Linked DNA regions of Macaca mulatta. Each later gene encodes a partner of the first gene's protein in a complex. Links are inferred from orthologs where the notes say so. Each region holds a gene or a part of one and is shown on either strand. Other genes may lie near its edges.

Region 1 (5,489 bases):
AACCCAGCCAACATGGCAAAACCCCATCTGTACTAAAAATACAAAAATTAGTCAGGTGTGGTGGTGAGCACCTGTAATCCCAGCTACTTGGGAGCCTGAGACAGAAGAATTACTTGAACACAGTAGGGGGAGGTTGCAGTGGGCTGAGAATGCATCACTGCACAACAAAGTGATGCATTGGACAACAAAGTTGCACTGGACAACAAAGTGAGACGCCATCTCAAAAAAAAAAAAAGTGTATATAATAATAGATAAAGACAAAAATCAACTGCAAGGAGTTGCGTATATGTAACTTGAATTGAGTCTTTGGGTGAATAGAATTTATTCTACTATTCTATAACTTTGAACCTATTTTAAAGTAAAAAAAAATTTTTTTTCCCCCTTTGAGACAGTCTCGCTCTGTCGCCCAGGCTGGAGTGCAGTGGCATGATCTCGGCTCATTGTAACCTCCGCCTCCCAGGTTCAAGCAATTCTCCCTGCCTCAGCCTCCCAAGTAGCTGGGATTACAGGCGCCTGCACCATGCCTGGCTAATTTTTGTATTTTTAGTAGAGACAGGGTTTCACCATGTTGGCCAGTCTGGTCTCGAACTCCTGACCTCAGGTGATCTGCCTACCTTGGCCTCCCAAAGTGCTGGGATTATAGGCATGAGCTACCGCGCCCGGCCAAAATATTTTTAATATAATGGAAATTGGGAACATTAGAATATAAGAGATGGTCTTTTGAAAGCAAAATTCCAATGGTAATAGGACAAGATGGGGAAGTTTATCTTAGTTTTAAAGAGTGGGGGCAGCCTGGCCAAGGTGGGTGGGTCACCTTAGGTCAGGAGTTCCAAGACCAGCCTGGCCAACGTGATGAAACCCCATCTCTACTAAAAATACAAAAATCAGCTGGGCATGCTAGCACATGCCTGTAATCCCAGCTACTTGGGAGGCTGAGGCAGGAGAATCACTTGAACCCGGGAGGCAGAGGTTGCAGTGAGCCAAGATCAACCCATTGCACTTCAGCCTAGGTGACAAGGGAAACTCCGTCTCAAAAAAAAAAAAAGGCGGAGTGGGGACAGCCGGGAGTGGTGGCTCATGCCTATAATCCCAACACTTTGGGAGGCCAAAGCAGAAGGATCACTTGAGCCTAGGAGTTTGAGACCAGCCTGAGCAACATGGTGAGACCCCATCTCTACAAAATAAAAATTAAAAAATTAGCCAAGTGTGATGGTGTGCACCTGTAGTCCTAGCTACTCAGGAGGCAGAGACAGAAGCTACTTGAGCCGGGGAGGTCAAGGCTGCAGTGGGCCATGTTTGCACCATTGCACTCCAGCCTGAATGACAGAGCAAGACCTTGTCTCAAAAAGGGGGAGTGGGTTACTTGTTACAACAGTCTCTGAGGCGTGAAGAAACAAACAAGAGGACCCTTAACGTGGACCAGCCTTAGCATCTGCCATAGAGGAGTATGGTTATCTGTAGCATAAAAGAGATGAAGTTGGAGGTTGAAGAAAGTGGAGACGGTTTGTAAAAACTCTATGTGATAAATCAGAAAGAAAGAAGTAAAAGTGATATCAAGTAGGATTTGGAGCCTAGCTGAAACTAGATAGGTAAATTATAAGAGCACTCAGCCCCAGTTTCATGATGCTGCGACAGCAGGCAGCTATAGCCATGGTCAAAGGCACTGCTTTTCCCAGACCTCTGAGGTCAGTTCTAGGTAATCCTGCTTTTATTTCTGGAACACACTAGAATTTACATAGGTTTTTTTCATTAGAACTTCTGTTATTTAACATAACTCAATAGAGAAGCATGTTTCACTTTGAAGAGACCTTTATATAATAGATTTTCCTTTCTTTTAGAATGTCAAAGTATTATTTTTGTAATAGTAGTATCTAATTTCAAGTACTTAGAATTCTCTTAATTTAAAAGGTGCTAGCTGATGGATTCCTGATGATTGGGATCGATGGCTCAGAAGCAGCAGACGGATCTGACTGGTTCTGTTACCATGCAACCTCTCCTTCTATTTTTCCTGTCGGTTTCTGTGAAATTAACATGATCGAACTTACTCCACCCAGAGGTACTTCATCCTAATATAAACACTGGAGTTTAATCTTTACTTTCTTCTTACATGGTTTCCATTTACAACATTTAACACAGCTCTAGATTTCCTGAGTATGTATATAATGTGTGTGGATATACATATACATACAGGAGCTGTAGGTTGCTCTAAAAATATAAAGTACTGTATTCTAGCTTACTTTAATAAATTACAGTAGTATATAATTTTTCCTGAGCATCTGTGTATTTTATAACATGAATTGGTATTCTCAAACTCTGTTGAGTCAGTAATACAGGCTCAACAGGCTATGGCATATATAATTTTTTTTTTCCCCCAGTAAAGACAGGGTCTTACTCTGTTGCCCAGGCTGAAGTGCAGTGGCACAATCATAGCTCACGGTAACTTCCAATTCCTGGGTCCAAGCAATCCTCCCACCTCAGCCTCCCTAGTAGCTGAAACTATAGCTGAAAGGCACAACCATGTCTGACTTTTTTTTTTTTTTTTTCTTTTTTCTTTGTATGTACAGACGGGACTCTCACTGTGTTACCCAGGCTGGTCTTGAAATCCTGGCCTCAAGTGATCCTCCCACTTCAGCCTCCCCAAAGCACTGGGATTAGGAGTGAACCACCACATTTAGCTATGTGGACTTTTTTTTTTTTTTTTTTGAGACAGTCTCGCTCTGTCACCCAGGCTGGAATGCAATGATGCTATCTCACCTCTTTACAGCCTCCACCTCCCAGGTTCAAGTGATTCTTGTGCCTCCCCTCCCAAGTAGCTGGAATTGCAGGTGTGCACCACCACGCCCAGCTGATTTTTCTATTTTTAATAGAGATGGGGTTTCACCATGTAGGCCAGGCTCATCACAAACTCCTGGTCTCAAATGATCTGCCCACCTTGGCCTCCCAACGTGCTGGGATTATAGGTGTGAGCCACTGCACCCAGCCCTATGTGGACTTATAAAAGGATGGCTGTTTTACTCATGGTTTAACCAGTCATTTTCCAAATTTTAATACTTGAGCATTAAGTTGTTCCTCTAAGAAAGGAGGAAAGCTATAACAGAGGTCTATAAACATGGCATTTGCTCAGCCAGTTTTCTTTCTTGCAAGGAAAGAAAAATATCACTCCATAGTATTAGGTGCTAGACTCTTCTAAAGCCTAGGATTGAAAGAGCAAGTGTACCCTTGTAGTAAACAGAAAAAGAGAGCCACTTTTGCGTTACACTAAGTGGGCGTACCAGTGTTTCTAGAAAGGGGAGGGAAATCTGTGTAACATGGAAGAATTATTGCACTAGCAGTATAAATCATATAGGCCAGGTGCAGTGGCTCACGCCTGTAATCCCAGCACTTTGAGAGACTGAGGCAGGAGGATTGCTTGAGACCAGAAGTTTGAGAACAACCTGAGCAACATAGGGAGACCTTGTCTCTACTAAAAACAACAAAAAATTAGCCTGTCACAGTGGCATGCACGTGTATTCGCAGCTACTAGAGAGGCTGAGGCAGGAGAATCACTTGAGCCCTGGAGGTTGAGGCTGCAGTAAGTCGTTGAGAGCACTACTGCACTCCAGCCTGGGTGACAGAGCAAGACCCTGTCTCAAAAAAAATAAAATTGATCATGTAACCTATGCTCTTAAGATTTTGTATACTGTTACTTTTTGTCTGCATTTTAATATTATGCTAATTTTAAATGAACTGCTAGTTAAACCAGTTGTGTTTTTTAGGTTACACAAAACTTCCTTTTAAATGGTTTGACTACCTCAGGGAAACTGGCTCCATTGCAGCACCAGTAAAACTATTTAATAAGGTAAATTTAAATGGCAGCATAATTATGTGAGGACTTATTAATGCCCCACAAATACAATTTATGTTCATAAAAATGTCTTTGCTTTATATTAGAATTTCTCATTGGAGATGTAATATAAACAGATATATAGCAATGAAACAATATGAATATTTTCTTTACCTAGGAATCAAAACTTGTTTCCAAACTATGTTTCATGTTTAATCCGAATGAAAATGAAATGAATACTTTTCCTAACTAGTTTTTCAATGCTTCACCTTCATATTATGTTTAAATAGTTAAAGAATTATTTGGAATTTTTGGTTTAAATTATGTTATTTACCTTGTCGCGTCTGTTTTTTGCTTTCTTAATGGTAGTAGGGTTGCGCATTCTTTCTTTATACCAATATTAATGTTTTCTTCTCTGTGTCAGGATGTTCCAAATCACGGATTTCGTGTAGGAATGAAATTAGAAGCAGTAGATCTCATGGAGCCACGTTTAATATGTGTAGCCACAGTAACTCGAATTATTCATCGTCTCTTGAGGATACATTTTGATGGATGGGAAGAAGAGTATGATCAGTGGGTAGACTGTGAGTCCCCTGACCTCTATCCTGTAGGGTGGTGTCAGTTAACTGGATATCAACTACAGCCTCCAGCATCACAGTGTAAGTTGGTATACAGAAAAGGTGTCCTTTTGTAAAAATCAGCAATTCTCCAGAGGACTATCTCACATAAGTCATCTTTTGAGCTCACAGGACAAGAATATACCTATGTCTGATTGGTTGCCAGGTAAGACATTAAGACTCAACAACAATATCACAGAATCAGACCATGTGTACCATGGCAGTGTGAATCCAATAGTCAGTTACATAATGACTATAGAAACACAACAGTCACCAAATTAAACTAGACTTACTATTTTAGTGAGTTAAAAATTACAGACTAAAAGTTTATTGGTATGTAATAAATGGTTTTGAGTAAATAGTGGAATCTGTCTCGTTTTGAGGCTGTGGTTTTGTAGGAACAAGTATCCTTATTTTCAGACCATGATGTACTTAAATAAGTCTTGGTAAAGATAGTTCATCTAAGTTGTATCTAGACAACTGTATCATCTAAATTGTAAACAATTATCTGGTACCAATTTTCCTTTTTATTTTTCAGCATCAAGAGAAAACCAATCAGCTTCATCAAAACAGAAGAAAAAGGCTAAGTCCCAGCAATACAAAGGACATAAGAAAAGTGGGTCACCACGTGGTGTTCACATACATTTTCTAATTGTTAACTAATTGGAGTCACAGTGTTCTTGGACAGAAAATGCTATCTCTTGTGAGAACTGATGATTGTGCGTTATGTATTGTGCTTAAAGGTGCAGTATGCCATAAAAGGCAAACCCTTGCAATAATGAGAAACACTGATGTTTTACTGACAGGAGAAATGATTACCACAGTATTTAAAGTATACATGGTAAAGAATAGAGCCTGTGAATGACTCTTGAAATAATATGTAAAACCTACTAAAATTTAATCCTTTTTAAAAACTTTATTTAAAAAGAAAAATTAGCAGCCGGGTGCAGTGGCTCACGCCTATAATCCCAGCACTTTAGGAGGCTGAGGCGGGCGGATCACGAGGTCAGGAGATTGAGACCATTCTGGCTAACACGGTGAAACCTGTC
Region 2 (6,035 bases), on another chromosome or scaffold:
TATTAGGTTAAAGAGATGATTAGTGACTTTGGGATGTGGCTATATCATGTCTATACTCACAAATACATGTCCCTCCAGGTTTCTTCCAAGCTAGGACCACTTCTGTTATAGAGTATCATTTTTTTTTCCCCTAACAGAAATAATCTTCCCTCCATGTGGTAGAATAAATAACAACATTACTACTCAATTTGTAGTTTCCAAATTTCTTTCTTAATTGATCCCCTTTTTTGGGGTTTTTTTTTTTTTTTTGAGACAGAGTCTTACTCTGTCACTCTGTTGCCCAGGCTGTAGCGCAGTGGCACGATCTAGGCTCACTGCAACCTCCACCTCCCGGGTTCAAGTGATTCTCCTGCCTCCGTTTCTCAAGTAGCTGGGATCACAGGCGCCCACTACCACGTCTGGCTAATTTTTGTATTTTTAGTAGAGACAGGGTTTCACCAGGTTGGCTAAGCTGGTCTCGAACTCCTGACCTCAGGTTATCCACCCGCCTCAGCTTCCCAAAGTGCTAGGATTATGGGTGTGAGGCACCAGGTCCGGCCTCTTAGTTGATCCTTGAACAATTCTATGAACACTGGGTTTCGGAAGGCATTATTAGTCAGAAATATCAAGATTTAATGTCACACAGCTAAATAGCAGAGTCATGACCAAACTCAAGTATTTTCAGTTGTTCTTCAAATGTATCCATCCCGGAATGAACTGGATCATATTTGTAAAGCAAACTTTGAGATGTGAGTGTATACTCACTCAGTTCTGGAAGACAGCTATAACCACTATAAAACTAACAAAACCTCAAAGAATTCTATGTTTCCAGACCAATTCACGTGCAAATTTGGAGTTTTTAACTAAAAGGCTTTCTTAAGTTCCTTCTAACTTTTAAGATTTTGTTCTTCTGTGGGTCCACTAATTCAAGTACCTAGCAATATATAAAATATTCTTCAAGGTCTGCTGATGTTTATTTACGCTAGTTTGTGGACAAAACTGGAATACAGTACTCCATCTCTGGAAATGACTCAACATTAATCATACACAACTAGAATAAAACAAATAGAAAAAAAATGTAACTTTTAAATGGTCTGTCACTTTCTAATAGTCACTAATTATTGAAACAATATTTTTAATTACCAAAATGCTTTAATGACTAAAAATCGCTATCTGAAGCTCTAAACCACACTAAATTATTTACATTCTAAAGAGTCATTGATAATATTCCCTTATTTTGATATCCAGATCACTATTTAATTTTGAAATATCTTTTTCAGAGGGTCCCAATATTTCTTGATAAATTATCCAAAGTGTCGCACATACTTTTTTGATGGATGCCATTTGTTCTTCTCTCCATTCAGGTTTATTTTTCTTTGCGTTCATAAAGAATTCACTGACTCTTTGTTCTAGTTGATCCATTGCATCTATGACATAATAAAAAAATCATATTAAATGACCAAATTCATATACTAAATATACATGGTTTGATTTAGGGAGGGAAAAAAATCTGACAATATATACTCTTTCACTTTGCCAGTAACTTAAATATGTTATGCTTTGATTATGTAAATATATAAAGCCTCAATTACCTTCCTTTAAAAAGTTACAATTTTCCTTATTGACAGATTATTTTTGTTTTTGTTATTTCAAAATTTTTTCCAATAGCCAAAGTAGAGTCAACAAAGTAGATCGGCTCTATCCTATAATTTTTGAGCAATACAGCCTTGGGGTCAAAAGCTATAGGTGTTAATCAGACAAATGTACCAAAACACAATGAAAACACCATTAGATAATCCTCACATTTCTTTCAACAAGAAAAAGTGATAAAAAGATTTGGTATAAGGCATTAAACATCTCATCATGTCATATCCCAACTGAAAGTAGTAGGTGCAATCATTTAAACATTAATTCTAGATAAATTTTCCCCAAATTAAGTGCTAAGACTAATCATCTCATTGGATGTCTGCTTAAAAAAAAGGAAAAATTAATAAAAAGGATTCTGTTGTTACGTAAGTTGAGAAAAATCTTTTCATAGCATACTTCTTTTGGAGATTTTCAGTCCACAATAGCCTTTTAAAGACTCTGTGAAGTACTATGGTTAATTTTCAGTATCTTCCTTTGTTTAAATAAGCATTTCTGAATTTATTTGGCACACTGTTCTGTTAATCCATAATATCTATTAACTTCAGAAAATTCGTTACTGTAAAGAAATGCACGTTTAAAAACCCTGTAATATGTATACTGTAAGCCCAAATTATGAGAATTTAAAATTTTAAACAAAATATAAAAATAAATTTAAAATAAGTTACCCTTTATTTAATGCCTACTTTGTATCAGATACTATAAATTCTAATCCATCTGTAATATTTTAAATCCTTAGATGATTCTCTTTTTACAGACAATGAAAGCCCCACACAAGTGGTAATACAGTCAGAGTCAATGAGTAAATTAGTAAAGCCCTAAAACAAACTCAGATCTATCTGACATCCATGTCTATGCTCAGTCCTGCAGAAAATACTTCAGCAAATCTTTAGCATTTCGACTACACTAAAATTAAAATGAATTTGTGAGATAGCTGGAGAACCACACACACAATTCATACTTCATACCACAATCCACTGAACAGAAGGTGGCTTCCATGCCACCACTTTTTATTATGTGCCACCTGAAACTTACTGGAAAAATATACGCATAAACAAAGGGTATAGAAGTGGGTGTGTGGTCACGGGCAGAGAAGACAGGGGCAGTGAAAAGGACAGGTTCTTAGCTGCAGCAAGTGGTCCCTAAGCCACCTATTTATAGTCCTTGCTCTACGAAAGAGTAAAGTTAATTTGGGGAAAAAGTCACAGAGACTACCAAGCTATCACTGAAAGAAAAATAAATGTTCACTAACTGCTAAAATTTTTAGTACAGCACATATGAAACTTTACAGTGAAATCTAATTTCTGTCACTCATTATAACCAAGAAAATGACGATTCTGTTACAATTTAAAATGTACCTTATAATGTGTAACTAAGTTTTCAAAATTTGACATTCGCCAGGGTCTCTAAAGAGCTATATATAACCTGTGCTTCTATGCTCTCCACTCTTGAAAAACTGAATAGGATGAACTTTAAAATAAGTATAAATGCTGAAATCTAAGTTCGATACGAAAAGGCTCAAGACAACATCTCAACATTTATTATGCTGACGTGCATTGAAACATAGATAACTATCTCAATGACGGTAGAGAAATATTTTTTGCACAATCCTACATTCTAGAAAGGAATACACCTGTCCCAATGCCGCCTCCTCTTGCAAAAGCCAGAAAAAAGTAGCATGGGAGGGAAGGAAAAGGCGAGATTCAGGGCTGCCAGTTCTTTTTGACAACTCCTTATGCACTAGCGGAGTGAGCCAGAGGACAGTGAAAGAGCATTAGGCGCTAGCAGTGATGAAAAGCAAGTCTGGCACTGAACGCGCGCAGCCAACATGAAGAGCAGACGCGCCGACTTACTCTGCACCTGCAGGTCCATCTCGCGCATTTCCGTGAAGCGGTCCCGCAGATCCATAGGAAGCTGCTCAATCACTGTCAAAGGGAGAGTCCGTCAGAGGGGCGGGGCCAACGGCGAAATACGCGCTTACGTCACTGCGCGCGTGCGTCAGGGGGGTCGAGGGGGCCGGCAGCCCACAACGAGGCTGCCAGTTACCGTGAGAGAGAAACATCCCCCGCCGCCCCCTCCCTCCCGCCATCTCGCTGCCCGTCCACTCGCGCTCTTGCCCTCCCGCAGGTCCCACCGGCGGCCGCCGCCAGCGCCGCGCACTCACTTTCCAGATAGTCTTCTAGGTACAACATCGCGGCCCTTAGAGCTGAGGGAACAAGGGGGTCCAGGGGTTTATTTGTGTCACTCGCTGTCGCCGGAGTTTTGTCCCTTCCAATATGGCGCCTCCGCTAGCAGCACCCGCTCGACTCCGGCAAAAAAAAAAAAAAGAGAAAAAAAAAAAAACCACTTTGGCGCCTGACGGCGCTTGCCTCACTGCCGCCCGGAACTGCTATTGGTTGGTTAAAGGAATGACGTAAGCCGGCCGGTGTTCGCCCCCGTGCCTTTGTGGGAAATGTAGTTTTCTTCCTGCTGAGCAAGGGTTGGCGCGCTGGCGGCTCCCCTCGTAGAAACTACCAATACCAGGCGCCATTGCAAACAGTGCGTAACAGAATCCGAAATGCGGTGCCTCTGTTTATTTGTTGATTTTTGCACAGAGAATGGCGGGAGTTGTGTGCGCCTGCATAACACAACTAGGAACAACTTTTCACCTGTTCTTTGCTGTGATTCCATGCCCCGGCGTTTGTGAGTCATGGGTTTCAAGAAGTGCCAGGCAAATAGCAAAGGTTCTAAACGCTAGGATAATCAGCAAAGTTCGGGGAATTTGGGTTACTTAAACCAGAACTCTCTGCTGGAATTTATCCTCATTATTCACTCCTAAAATATAAGAGAGACACCTGGTTGTCTTACGTGTAATTTTGAAATGGTTTATACTGAGACTGTGGAGTGAATATGCATTTCCCAGATTAAAAGATGCACAAATAGTGTCAATAGCCACTTACATATTGTAGTTTGCAGTCCGTCTAATCGTCATTCTAATGTAATTGATCTATACATACAATGTGCACCCACAAATAATAGTAATAATCATCATCATCATCATAGTGAGCAGCCATGAATTACGGATGGAGCCTTCATCTCGAATAGGCTGTAATAGCAGTAACTTTATGTTGAGTAAATAGTCCATATTCGAGGTTGGTTGTCTTGGGCGTTCTTTTTCTACTTTTCGACGTCTCCCAGCGAAGGTTTTCCTGTGATATAGTTAGTACGTCCCTACTCAGTTTCTTTTTACATTGTTTTTATTAAAAACTCTTGCATTCAATAAATACTAGGTGTTGTTTTCCTCTCTTCTTAGCTCTTCGATTTTCTGGGGAAATTGTCATTAGTTGATAATTTATTTTTCATTTTCTGTTTTTCAGATTGCAGTTGAAACTGTGTGTGTGTGTTCCCTGCTTTCCTTCTCCATTACATACTCTTACTCAAGGTTTTCACTCATCTTAAGCAGGAAACTTCCCTGTCGTGAATGATGAATCATGATGAATCTCAGCGGAACCTTACTTCGATCTGAATAAGAATTAGAATTTTTTAGTTTCTAGTTAATTTTTTCATTACTTGCATCTAAAATCAAGTACTTTCAATCTTTTTCTCCCTTCTTTTCCTCCTTTCTTCCTTTCCTCTTTCCCATCCTTCCTCCTTCTGGTTGCTTTTAAGATCTCTTTGACGTCTTTTTGCAGTTTTGCAGTGATCTAAGTCTAAATTCCTTCCTTATTCCCTTTTCTTTCCTTAAATTTTTAAAATTATGCTTAGGATTTGAGGGGATTCCCGAATTTCAGGATTGGTGTCTTGCAACAATTCTAGAAAATTTTCAACGATTGTCTTTTCAGTATTGCTTATTTCTCATTTTTTCCGTTAAGACTTACTCTCTTTATTCTCTTATTTATCTTAATCTTTCTTTTATATGTTTTATTTTAGAATTTTCAGAATTTTTCAGGTTTAGAAGTTCTATTTGGTTCTCTTTTCAAGCCATTTTCTAATTTATACAAATTATTTAGTCTGTATCTTGTTTCCGTTAAACCTAATATTGAAAAATGTGTGGGCCTTTTTGCGCTATTGCTTCAGAAATGGGCACTTTTGCTTATGGTGCCTATTTCCTGTTGGATTGTGATTTTGGACTCTGAATTCCTGTTTCTGGGATTACAAGCATAAGGATTCTTTGAGGCTGGAGTTGAAATTGAGTTTTCCTGGAGAGCGTTAGAATTTGCTTGTCAATTTGTTTGGAGACATCATAAACCCTAGGACCAGATTAAATTGTCCACTTGAGGTTTATTGTATTGCACAGATAGATTGAATTTGGGCCTCTATCCCAAATGAATTGTTACAGATTCTCAGAGGAGAATTTTTTCTTTCTTTCTTTGCTGGGCTCCAAGGCCAAGACACGTTTCATTACTGGCCTATTTTGTGCATGAGGCTTATAA
Region 3 (6,112 bases), on another chromosome or scaffold:
GAAAAAAATAGCCAAGCGTGGTGGCAGATGCCTGTAGTCCCAGCTACTCAGGAGGCTGAGGCAGGAGAATGGCGTGAACCCGGGAGGTGGAGCTTGCAGTGAGCTGATATCGCGCCACTGCACTCCAGCCTGGGCAGCAGAGCGAGACTCCGTCTCAAAAAAAAAAAAAAGAAAAGAAGTTTGCATTCCTGCATTCCATTTATGGAGAAACTTAAATGTCACACTAATAAACACAATTTTAACCTGCAGGCCAATAATTCTCAATCCCCTCCATCTCCTTATTTGTCCGACCATTGATAATCATTGTTTATGTAAACTAAAGTTACTGAGAGAAATATGTGTCATTCCTCAGATGTGTTGGGACAGAAAAACAGCTGAGTACTGCTACTATGGATAACGGAGAGCCACCGAAGATATAGGGGAGGGGTAACAGTATGTACAAGGGGTATTTCAGAGAGCTCTGGAGGCAGTTAGATGGCCTGAGTAGAGAATGTGAAGTACAGCCTAGACCTGAGGTGATACTGTTTAGGGCTAGAATGGCAGCCATATTAGAAAGAAAAGGGAAAAAAGTCAGTTGAGGGAGAGGGAGTCAACTGGGCTGGGTGACACCTCACACATGTGGCTCTCTCTTCAATCAGTGATGCAGACTAAAGGGCTAATCTTGGTACACATGATGCCAAAGCAAGCAAATAACACAGATGGTTGACCCTCCAAACCAGCCAGAGTTCAATTTTGCACTGATGACCATCATTTCCTCCCAATTGATGCCTGTAAAAGACAGCCTGGGAACACATTAATCCCCTCAGCCTTAATCTGGTATTAAGCCATATCACCGGAGGGTAGTAGATCAACCACACATTAGCTTAGTGCCCAATCAAAATACTTGCACTAAATTACTACCATTCCTTTGCCTTTTATTGAGTCATTAATACACATCACTAGATAAGAGAATGTTTGTATATCATCTACGAAAACCGTTACTTTTTATAATATAAGGATATAATGATAAATGCTCCCTAGGATTTAAGACTGAATAAGTTTGTCTCTCTTGAACAACTTGTATGCTTCTTTCTTACTAAAAAAAGAAATACAAGGTTTGGCTACCAGGAAGCTCACAGCTAAATTTAATATCAATTGCTATTACCATTTTAGCAGAGGTTCCTGGTACAATTACTTCTGATCTGTCTCTATTTTTACCGTTTCTACTTTTTGTTTATATTGTAAGCCTCCTTAAATCCTTGTTGGAAGCATGAAGGGTACATATTAAATAACGAGTCGTAAAATGACAGAAATAGGAAAATGGCCTTAGAGGAGGGATGAGAAAGTTCTATTTTAAACTAGTTGGTCAGGGCTGTGTCAGTAATGACTCAGTGATGTGGGGTTTTTTGTTTTTGTTTTTGTTTTTAAACGGAGTCTCACTGTCGCCCAGGCTGGAGTGCAGTGGAGTGATCCACTGAAACCTCCGCCTCCCAGGTTCAAGCTAGTAGCTGGGATTACAGGCGCGTGCCACCACGCCCAGCTAATTTTTTGTATGTTTAGTAGGGACAGGGTTGCACCATGTTGGTCAGGCTGGTCTCGAACTCCTGACCTTGTGATCCACCCGCCTCAGCCTCCCAAAGTGCTGGGATTACAGGCGTGAGCCACCACACTCAGCCCCTAAATCCTGTGGGTTCTATTCCTTAATTTATCTTCAATCTTTCTGTTTCTCTACTGCCATGCCGCCTTCAAGCCATTCTCATTACAGAGTAAGTAATCTTTCTAAAGTACAAATTTTATCGTGGAACTCGGATGACTCTTCTCAGTCCTCTGGATGAACAGCAAAACTCCTTAACATGGCTCACAAGGCCCTAATGATCTGGCCCATGCCTACTCCCTCCAGGCTTATCAATCTTTAGTCTCCTTCATGCTCTGGAGAATGAAAGTAGACTTGCAGGTCCTAGACCAGGATCTCAACGTCTTTACATACTCTCCCCGATCTGCTCTGTGGACTACCTTTCTCCTTCTCCCACTTTTCATCAAGCTAAGGTCTACTTTTCAAACTGTCCTCAGCTTAAACATCATCCCTCCAGGGATGCCTATCCTGATCAACAGCTTTGGTTCAGATGTATTACCTTAACACTCTATCTTATATCTTACACCTTGTTTTAGTCCTTATCACACATTTTGTTTGTTTTTGAGACAGAGTCCTGCTCTGTCGCCCAGGCTGGAGTGCAGTGGTATGATTTCGGCTCACTGCAACCTCCTCCTCCCAGGTTCAAGCGATTCTCTGCCTCAGCCTCCTGAGTAGCTGGGACTATAGGCGCACGCCACCACGCCTGGCTAATTTTTGTATTTTTAGTAGAGACTGGGGTTTTACCATGTTGGCCAGGATGGTCTTGATCTCCTGACCTTGTGATCTACCTGCCTTGGCCTTCCAAAGTGCTGGGATTACATGCGTGAGCCACTGTGCCCTTCCTATCACACAGTATTTTAACTGTTAACCCAACCAGTTACCCCACTGGGGCATGGAGTATGTAAGGACAGAGCACTGTTTTTAATATTCTCGGTTTCCCTAGAGCCCAATACAACCTATCACCGATGGCATGCACTGGGTATTCAACACATTTAAGAAACGGGTAGATTCAACTAAAAAAATTTAGCAAGTGGCAGCCCAGTCCGGACACCTCACACATAATGTTGAACAAAACAGACCATCCCTAACTTTATACAGTTTACAATGCAATAGGAAAACATAAGCAAGTAAGCAAACCGAATCTAATTACAAACTGAAATATGTTCTGTGGGAGAAATAAATGGGGACACTTGTTAGGATAGTCAAGGAAGGATTATCTTCCTGAGAAAACATATACATTGAGACTTGAAAGCTGAAAAAGGAGTGGGCTAATCTCTACCTTTGGAGCAGTTCCTTTCCATGTCTCAGGTGAATAATCCGGCAGTGGGCCAACAAGTATACATCCAGCGACTGACTACTACTATCTGTGTGCCTGACGTATGCTGGAGGTCAGAAGTACAGTGAGAGATGGAACTACGCAAGTATGCGGTAGGTTTCTGCCGTTCTCTGGAGTGCCTCCGCAAAGCTTCTCCGTCTCATGCCCCTTTGACCCCATCCAGAGGTCTCCCTTGTAGGACTCCACACTATCCGTCCCCCCGCCCCGCCCCGCCCCCCGGCTCCGATTCACCGCACCCATCTAGGGTATCAGCTCCCAGAGCTCCGCTCTATTCCCCGCCTTCTTCTTCTTTGTCCGGAGATCCTCCCTCCAGGGCTCCTCTTCGCTTCCTCCCCTCCCTTTTCCCAGGCTCGGATCTTGCCTCTGTGAAACCTCCATAAGTCGTCTGGTAGAACTCATCTTCCTCCTCTGCCTCCAGAAGCCCGGAAAGCCGGTTCCCAGCGGTCTTCCGGGGTGCCCGGCCCCCAGCCAAACTCATACCGCCTAAGGAGACTGCTCCGCCACCTGCAGCCCCTCACCAGCTCGCTTCTGGGAGCTCGACGCTCGACACCGCTACCTGCGGGTGGACACCAGCGGCGGAAGTCGGGCGTTTACAGGCAGAAGTAACAGAGTGTCGAGAGACTCCTACTCCCACCTTCTAAACCCTCTTTACTCTTCAGCCTCTCCTACTCCTGCGCGGAACCTCTAGGCCGCTTGCCCTAGTGCTCAATGAGTCCACTTGGTGGCACGACGACCCGCATAAACCTAAGTCAACACATTTTCTTTTATTTATTTTTGTTTTTAATATATATATATACACACACACACACATATATGTATTTTTTTCGTAGGGTCGCTCTGTCGCCAGACTGGAGTGCAGTGGCACGATCTCGGCTCACTGCAACCTCCCTCTCCCGGGCTGAAGCAATTCTCCCCGAGTAGCTGGGATTACAGGCGCCCGCCACCATGCCCAGCTAATTTTTGTATTTTTAATAGAAACGGCTTTCACCATGTTGGCCAGGCTGGTCTCAAACTCCTAACCTCAGGTGATCCGCGCGCTTCGGCCTCCCAAAGTGCTGGGATTACAGGCGTGAGCCACCGCGCCAGGCTCACATTTTCTTTTAGAAGAGGTCATTCTCCCCGGTCCAGTCCGTTTTCCACACTGCTGCCAGTAGGAAACTTTCAAATTTTCTAAAAACCCAGATTTTGCCAGTCCTCTCCTCAACATTTTTTAATGGCTCCACATCATCTACAAGATAAAGTCCAAAATCCTTGAGAAAGAAAGCATAATATTGTGGTTAAAAACACAGCCATAGACATTTATCCGAAGGAAAGGACATAATTCAACATAAGGAAGCTGATTTAGGAAAAAAAAAAAAAAAAAGGAAATCAGTATTTCCAAGAGACGTCCGCACTCCATATTTATGCACCCCCATATTTAATGCAGCACTGCTTATAGTAACCAAAATAGGAAATCAATCTAGGTGTCCAACAACAGATGAATAAAGGAAATGAGGTGTATATACACAAATGAATACTATTTAGCCATTAAAAGGAACAAAATCCTGTCATTTGCAGCAACATGGACGGAATTGGAGGACACGTTAACTGACTTAAGCCACGAACAGAAATTTAAACACTGCGTGTTCTCACTCATATGTGGACGCTTTAAAAAAATTGATTTCATAGAAATAAAAAATAGAACAGATGATACTGGGGGCTGGGAAGTGCAGGGGGAAGGAAGGGACAGGGAAAGATTTGTTTTTTTTGTTGTTGTTGTTGTTTTTTTGAGACGGAGTCTCGCTCTGTCGCCCAGGCTGGAGTGCAATGGCCGGATCTCAGCTCACTGCAAGCTCCGCCGCCTAGGTTTACGCCGTTCTCCTGCCTCAGCCTCCCGAGTAGCTGGGACTACAGGCGCCCGCCACCTCGCCCCGCTAGTTTTTTGTATTTTTTAGTAGAGACGGGTTTCACCGTGTTAGCCAGGATGGTCTCGATCTTCTGACCTCGTGATCCGCCCCTCTCGGCCTCCCAAAGTGCTGGGATTACAGGCTTGAGCCACCGCGCCCGGCCAGATTTGTTAAAAGACACAAAATTGTGGCTCACACCTGTAATCCCAGCACTTTGGGAAGCCGAGGGTGTGGATCATGAGGTCAGGAGTTCACGACCAGCCTGGCCAAGATGGTGAAACCCCATCTCCACTAAAAATACAAAAATTAGCTGGTCATAGTGGTGGGCACCTGTAATCCCAGCTACTCGGGAGGCTGAGGCAGAGAATTGCTTGATCTCGGGAGTCGGAGGTTGCAGTGAGCCAAGATCGCACGCCATTTGCACTCCAGCCTGGGAAACAGAGGGAGACTCCGTCTCAAAAAAAAAAAAAAAAGACAAAATTGGGCCGGGCACAGTGGCTCACGCCTAGTAATTCCAGCACTTCGGGAGGCTGAGGCAGGCAGATCACGGGGTCAAGAGATTATGACCATCCTGGCCAACATGGTGAAACCCCGTCTCTACTACAAATACAAAAATTAACTGGGTGTGGTGGCACACACCTGCAGTCCCAGCTACTCGGGAAGCTGAGGCAGGAGAATCGCTTGAACCCGGGAGGCAGAGGTTGCAGTGAGCTGAGATCGTGCCACTACGCCCCAGCCTGGCAACAGAGCAAGACGCCATCTGAAAAGAAAAAAAAAAAAAAAGACACAAAATTACCATTTTTTTTTGAGACGGGGTCTCTGTTGCCCAGGCTGGAGTGTAGCAGCAGGATCATGGCTCGCTGGCTCCTTGACCTCCTGGGCTCAAGCTGTCCTCCCACCTTGGCCTCCCAAAGTGAGAGGTTTACAAAGTGAGCTGATTAAAGCCGTGAGCCACCACACCGGCCCCAAATTACATTTGTTTGTTCATTTGTTCATTTGTTTGTTTGAGATAGGATCTCACTCTGTCGCCCAGTCTGGAGTGCAGTGATGCAATCACTGCTCACTGTGGTCTCGACCTCCTGGGTTCAAGCGATCATCCCACCTCAGCCTCCCAGGTAACTGGAACTACAGGCTCACATCACCACACCCGGCTAATTTTTTGTACTTTTTGTGAAGATGAGATTTCTTTATGTTGCCCACAGTGGTCACCTGGACTCAAGTGATCCCCACTCCTCAGCCTGTCAATGTGCTGGAATTACAGGCCTGAGCCACCTCGCT
Region 4 (6,109 bases), on another chromosome or scaffold:
GTATCTTATGCTTTAAATATGTGCAGTGGCCAGGTGTGGTAGCTCACGCCTGTAATCCTAGCACTTTGGGAAGCCAAGGCAGGTGGATCATCTGAAGTCAGGAGTTCAAGACCAGCCTGGCCAACATGGCAAAACCCCATCTCTACCAAAAAATACAAAAATTAGCCAGGCATGCTGGCGTAGGCCTGTAGTCCCAGGTACTCGGGAGGCTGAGGTGGCAGAATCACTTGAACCTGGGAGGCAGAGGTTCCAGTGAGCCAAGATTGCGCCACTGCACTCCAGCCTGGGCAACAGAGTGAGACTCCACCCCCCCCCCCGCCCAAAAAAAGGTAGAGTTTACTGCACATCAATTATATCACAAAAAAGTTGTTAAAAGGGAAGGGATGTGACCTTTCTTACCAACCCCCTTCCTTCTTGTTGCATGGATCACGGATGTGATAGCTGAAGGTCAAGCAGCCACCGTGAACCATAAGATAACCAGAAGATAAACTATGTGCTGAGGAAGGTGGCACAGAAAGAGAAGATCCTGAGCCTCTAATGTCACTGTGAAGTTGCTATGAGAGCTGTTGACTGCCTAGACTTCCTGTATGTGTGACAAAAAATAAACTCAAGTTTTTAACCCATTTCTTTGTTGCGGTTGCTCTTTTTATATAGTGTTTTTGTTTTTATGGTGGCCACGTATTACTTCAGAAATTAGATTTAAAAAACAAACAAGGCCAGGCGTGGTGGCTCACGCCTGTAATCCCAGCACTTTGGGAGGCTGAGGCGGGTGGATTACCTGAGGTCGGGAGCTCAAGACCAGCCTGACCAACATGGAGAAACCCCATCTCTACTAAAAATACAAAATTAGCCAGGCATGGTGGCGCATGCCTGTAATCCCAGCTACTCGGGAGGCTGAAGCAGGAGAATCACTTGAACCCGGGAGGTGGAGGTTGCGGTGAGCCAAGACTGCGCCATTGCACTCTAGCCTGGGCAAAAAGAGCGAAACTCCGTCACACACACACACACACAAAATGCTAGGAAGCATGACAATCAGCAAAGTACTGAATTGTTTATCAATGTGGCAAGAGAGTTAAATTCATAATGGATGATGCAAAAAAAAAAAACAACGGGGGTGAGGGGCTGATACCAAGAAAGGTAAAATGATGACAGTTCTAGGCTGGGAGTGTTGGCTCACGTCTATAATCCTAGCACTTTCGAGGGCTAAGGTGGGAGGATCACTTGAGCCCAGGAGTTCGAGACCAGCCTGGGCAACAAGTGACAAAAAAACCCAAAAATTCAGCCAAGCATGACGGCAAGGGTCTGTAGTCCCAGCTACTCAGGAGGCTAAACTGGGAGGATCACTTGAGGCCAGGAGTTGGAGACCAGCCTGGGGAACATAGTGGGACCTCGTCTCTACAAAAACATAAATATTTAAATAAAAAAAAAAAAAAGTCCAGCCTGGGCAACATGGCAAAACCCCATCCCTACCAAAAAATACAAAAATGAGCCGGGGATGATGGCATGTGCCTGTAGTCCCAGCTACTCAGGAGGCTGAGGCCGGAGAATCACTTGAGCCCAGGAGGCAGAGGTTGCAGTGAACCAAGATTGCACCACTGCACTCCAGCCTGGGTGACAGTGAGACCCTGTCTGCAAAAAAAAAAAAGCGAACATAATAGAGTTACTACATAACCCAGCAATTTCACTCCTTGAATAAAAAACTCAAGAGAATTAAAAACATTGTCCACAACCTTGTACACAAATGTGCGTATCATCAGCATTATTCATAATGGTCAAAAAGTGGAAACAACCCAATTGTCTATCAAGCGATGGATAAACAAAATTTGGTATATTCATATAACAGATTATTATTCAGCTAAAAAAGGAATTAAGTATTGATACCTGCTATATAAGAATGAACCTTAAAAGCGTTATGTCAGCCAGATGCGGTGGCTCACTCCTGTAATCCCAGCACTTTGGGAGGCCGAGGTGGGCTGATCACGAGGTCAGGAGATCAAGACCACCCTGGCTGACATGGTGAAAGCCCGTCTCTACTAAAAATAAAAAAAAATAGGCTGAGCGTGGTGGCGGGCGCCTGTAGTCCCAGATATTCGAGAGGCTAAGGCAGGAGAATGGCATGAACCCAGGAGGCGGAACTTGCAGTGAGCCAAGATTGCGCCACTGCACTCCAGCCTGGGCAACAAAGCAAGAGCCTCAAAAAATAAAAAATAAAAAAAATAAAAATAAAGAAAATGTTCTAAAATTAGATTGTGGTAATGGCTGCACAACTGTGAATATACTAAAAACCATTATATTGTACATCTTAAGTAAGTTAATTTTATAGTATGTGAATTATATCTCAATAAAGCTGTTTAAAAAAAAAAATACAGCTGGCCTGGTGGCTCACACCCGTAATCCCAGTAGGTTGGGAGGTTGAGGTGGGCAGATCGCTTGAACCCAGGAGTTCAAGACCAGCCTAGGAAACATGATGAAACCCCTATCTCTACAAAAAAATACAAAAAATTATCTGGGCATGGTGGTGTGCACCTGTAGTCCCAGCTACTAAAGAGGCTGAGGTGGGAGGATCACTTGAGCCTCAGACATGGAGGTTGCAGTGAGCCAAGATCACACCACTGCACTCCAGCCTGGGCCACAAAGTGCAACCCTGTCTCAAAAAAAAAAAAAAAGGCCGGCAGCAGTGGCTCACGCCTGTAATCCCAGCACTTTCGGAGGCCGAGGCGGGCAGATCATGAGGTCAGGTGATTGAGACCAGCGTGGCCAACATGGTGAAACCTTGTCTCTACTAAAAATACAAAATTAGCCAGGCATGGCCAGGCGCAGTGGCTTACGCCTGTAATCCTAGCACTTTGGGAGGCTGAGGCCAGTGGATCACCTGAGGTCAGGAGTTCGAGACCAGCCTGGCCAACATGGCGAAACTCTGTCTCTACTAAAAACTAAAAAAATTAGCTGGGCGTGGCTGCACCACTGCATTCCAGCCTGGGCGAGAGAAGGAGACTGTCTCAAAAAAAAAAAAAAAAAAAAAAGGGAAGAAGAAAAAGTCTACTTACAGCTTAATATGATTAACTACAGAAATCTATCAATGTGAAAGAGTATCTAACAATTTCTAAGACCCAGAAAAGCTGACATCCTAGATAGCTTACCAATTTTGATCTCCACTTCTCATGACAGAAGATGCTAAACACAGCTTCTCTCGGATGGACCATGGCTCTGTGGGGCCAGTACTCAGCAGCTTGTGTTCTGGGAAACGAAAAAAAAAAAAGCCTTGGAAGCAACCACTGAGACTGTAGTGCTAAGCTCCAAAATCCCCAAAAAGGGGACTAAAAGCCTAATACAAAATATTCCAACTTGTTAGGACAAAGTGAGCTACTATCACCAAATCTTGATTTTCACCTCTCCAAGTGAAGTATCACCAGTGACCGTGGTACCAATTTGTTGCATGTGAATTATTAACATTTTATTTCTTAAAACGCCACGGCTTGAAGCTCCGCTTTATTAAAAAATTGGGAATGTCAGATTAGGCAGTTCTCCCTAAAAGCCCAGTTTTAAGAACACTGGACTTTATTCCAGTTTGAACTCATTCAGGGCTTATTTCCCAGGAACCCGAGCGGCCAGCCCCTCCTACAACCCCGCCTCCCTCTTAGCATAAACTTGTTTACTTCTCTCAGATCCTCTACTCCAAATGTCGGGCCTAAAAGACCTTTTCAGTCCACTAAAAGAAAAATGGCTGAAATCCCCGAGATGCAATTTCCTGAGTGGCAAGAAAAGCTCATGGTTAAAAGGCCCCACTTCCACTGCCTCACAAACGTCGAACAAAAAATGAATGGCTCTTTGAGGTGCCGGTTACTCCGTCTGGCTCATAACATCTTTTCGTCTGCACGCCCAAGTTTCTAGAGTGCTTTTACGGTTACCCCGAAGGGCTCCTAACACACTAGGATTCACTAAGCTCCTTCTCTCACACCTCCGCTCCCTCCCTGAGAAACAAGACCCCAGATTTCTGGGCCCCCAAACGTTGGTCTTCACGATGCTGTGGAGCGCAGGTCTCTGAAAACCCTGAGCTCTCAAGCAAACCACTTCTCCCACTCCCTAAGCGTGTAACAAAAATATGGTGCCTAGCCTCGGATCTACAAACGCCTTTCACGCAAAACCTGCTCAGATACTCACTGCCCGTTCCCGTCGCCATCTTGGCCCCGAAGTCTCCAACCCTGAGGAGAGACGGTCTGGTAGGGCCGAAACCCTGGAATTCTGGGAAGTAGAGTACCGGCGTTGGTTCGCGGTGCCTCCTGGGAAATGTCGTTTTTTCCCCTAAGACAAAGCAAGCACCCTAAACCAGTTATCTTGTGCAATCCTTTTAAGATTTTTGCTAAGGAAGGACAGGGGTTGGCGGCTGAAGCCTCAAGATTTCCTTTAGGGTTCTTAGGTAAGAAATGTCTAAGGTTCAAGAAAAAGGGTTAAGCTGGAAGAATCCCAAGCGAAATAACTCCTAACCCGCGACAGTTGGTAACCCGGACCCACATTAGATCTGAGAGGTCAAGCGGATGCAAACTACTGGAATTCCAGTCGGACCCGCCCCTTTTCCTTACGCGGATTGGTAGCTGCAGACTTCCCTATCTCATTGGCCGAACGAACGCAGCGCGTAATTTAAAATATTGTATCGGTAACAAAGCTGCACCTCGTGGGCGGAGTTGTGCTCTCCGGCTGCGAAAGTCCAGGTTCGGCGACTAGGTGTGAGTGAGCCGGTACCCGAGGAGGAGCAAGTGGCACGTCTTCGGGTGAGTGTGCGGCTGTGCTGGAGCCCGGGTTACCAGCTCTTGCCCACGCGGAATAGGCTTTAAGAAATCGGAACTGCAGCCATCTGTTTTTCTCTTAATGCTGCATCTCTGTTCTCACGGTGGTCCTTGAGGTTAGAAAAGGAGCCGAGGGATCCTGACACCACCTCCACAGCACCGGCGGGCGAGGTGCCCTACTTTAGGCCTGGCCTTTTGCTTTTGGAGCCAGATTTCTGTGGACTTCTGTTCGCTTTCAGAAATGCAACCTCAAACTTCTCTCGATTGTTCATTAAGTGAACTTCTCTCATTCCCTTCCCCTTTGCCGATAATTAGAGGGGAAAGGAAGTAGGGAGCGGGACCCGGTGTCCTGGGGCAAGGGACTTATTACCTAAAATTCGCGGCCCCTTCTGTCCCTAAAGGTTCTTCTCCCTGCCCACTTTTTGGTCTCTTTTTAGACCTAGGCTGCCCCTGCCGTCATGTCGCAAGGGATCCTTTCTCCGCCAGCGGGCTTGCTGTCCGATGACGATGTCGTAGTCTCTCCCATGTTTGAGTCCACAGCTGCAGATTTGGGGTCTGTGGTACGCAAGAACCTGCTGTCAGACTGCTCTGTCATCTCTACCTCCCTAGAGGACAAGCAGCAGGTAAAGGAACTGGGGAGTGGCTGGGGCAGAAAGTGACATCCTCAGGTCAATAGTTGTCCATACACGGTAGTATGAGGTCAAAGACTAGCAATCCTGAAGGTTTGAGAGATCAATTCAAAATTAGGGGCATGTAGGACAAAATGGCTACGAAAAGAAAAAAAAATTAAGGGCATGACAAGTAAAAAAAAAATTAAGAGTTGTGTGTCCAGAAGAACTATTATTTGCATTGCATTAATGAAATACCCTCAAGTGCATGCTCTCAGTTAATCAGGAAATAATAGTTATCTCTCTTTGCCTTGAGGCCCAGTTGTGCTAAATAATTTGCACAAGGTCATATAGGCATTATGTAAGTGGAATGTATGTTCAGGTTTTGATAGTATCACCATAGCTTCAATTTGTTGTAGCTTTCCTGCTAGGCCAGGGTTTCTCCATCACAGCATTGTTGACATTTGGGGCTAGACAGTTCTTGTAGGGATCTGTCCTGTATATTGTAAGATGTTTAACAGCATTCCTGACATCTACCCACTAGATGTCAGTAGTGCCTTCCCATTTGTGACAATCAAAAAATGTCTTCAGGCACTTCAGGCATTGCTTAAATGGCCTTTGGAGTGGAAATGACCCTGGTTGAGAAACACTGTACTAGGTCCTATGCTAAACATTAACATACATTGTCACATTTTGTGCTTTTATAGAGTTTCTCTT

Evidence for each region.
Region 2: MBTD1 (region 1) and ING3 share a complex: the UniProt entries of both Homo sapiens proteins name them as parts of the nuA4 histone acetyltransferase complex. The link is inferred for Macaca mulatta from reciprocal best matches to the Homo sapiens genes MBTD1 and ING3.
Region 3: MBTD1 (region 1) and VPS72 share a complex: the UniProt entries of both Homo sapiens proteins name them as parts of the nuA4 histone acetyltransferase complex. The link is inferred for Macaca mulatta from reciprocal best matches to the Homo sapiens genes MBTD1 and VPS72.
Region 4: MBTD1 (region 1) and BRD8 share a complex: the UniProt entries of both Homo sapiens proteins name them as parts of the nuA4 histone acetyltransferase complex. The link is inferred for Macaca mulatta from reciprocal best matches to the Homo sapiens genes MBTD1 and BRD8.

The regions. Positions count from the first base shown.
Region 1 is NC_133421.1:58,808,243-58,813,731, forward strand, and holds part of MBTD1 (MBT domain-containing protein 1), read left to right. Parts: exon of another isoform or gene 1-235; intron 236-1,908; coding exon 1,909-2,056; intron 2,057-3,755; coding exon 3,756-3,838; intron 3,839-4,247; coding exon 4,248-4,482; coding exon of another isoform or gene 4,483-4,517; exon of another isoform or gene 4,518-4,978; coding exon 4,979-5,056; intron 5,057-5,489. UniProt on the Homo sapiens protein: Chromatin reader component of the NuA4 histone acetyltransferase complex, a multiprotein complex involved in transcriptional activation of select genes principally by acetylation of nucleosomal histones H4 and H2A.
Region 2 is NC_133408.1:160,719,779-160,725,813, reverse strand, and holds the start of ING3 (inhibitor of growth protein 3), read right to left. Parts: upstream 3,936-6,035; 5' UTR 3,816-3,935; coding exon 3,788-3,815; intron 3,549-3,787; coding exon 3,477-3,548; intron 1,407-3,476; coding exon 1,306-1,406; intron 1-1,305. UniProt on the Homo sapiens protein: Component of the NuA4 histone acetyltransferase (HAT) complex which is involved in transcriptional activation of select genes principally by acetylation of nucleosomal histones H4 and H2A.
Region 3 is NC_133406.1:115,896,653-115,902,764, reverse strand, and holds the start of VPS72 (vacuolar protein sorting-associated protein 72 homolog), read right to left. Parts: upstream 3,463-6,112; 5' UTR 3,427-3,462; coding exon 3,310-3,426; intron 1,974-3,309; exon of another isoform or gene 1,634-1,973; intron 1-1,633. UniProt on the Homo sapiens protein: Deposition-and-exchange histone chaperone specific for H2AZ1, specifically chaperones H2AZ1 and deposits it into nucleosomes.
Region 4 is NC_133411.1:147,031,580-147,037,688, forward strand, and holds the start of BRD8 (bromodomain-containing protein 8), read right to left. Parts: upstream 4,223-6,109; 5' UTR 4,181-4,222; coding exon 4,162-4,180; intron 3,238-4,161; coding exon 3,141-3,237; intron 1-3,140. Other genes in the region: kinesin-like protein KIF20A, read left to right, coding at 5,243-5,407. UniProt on the Homo sapiens protein: May act as a coactivator during transcriptional activation by hormone-activated nuclear receptors (NR). Isoform 2 stimulates transcriptional activation by AR/DHTR, ESR1/NR3A1, RXRA/NR2B1 and THRB/ERBA2.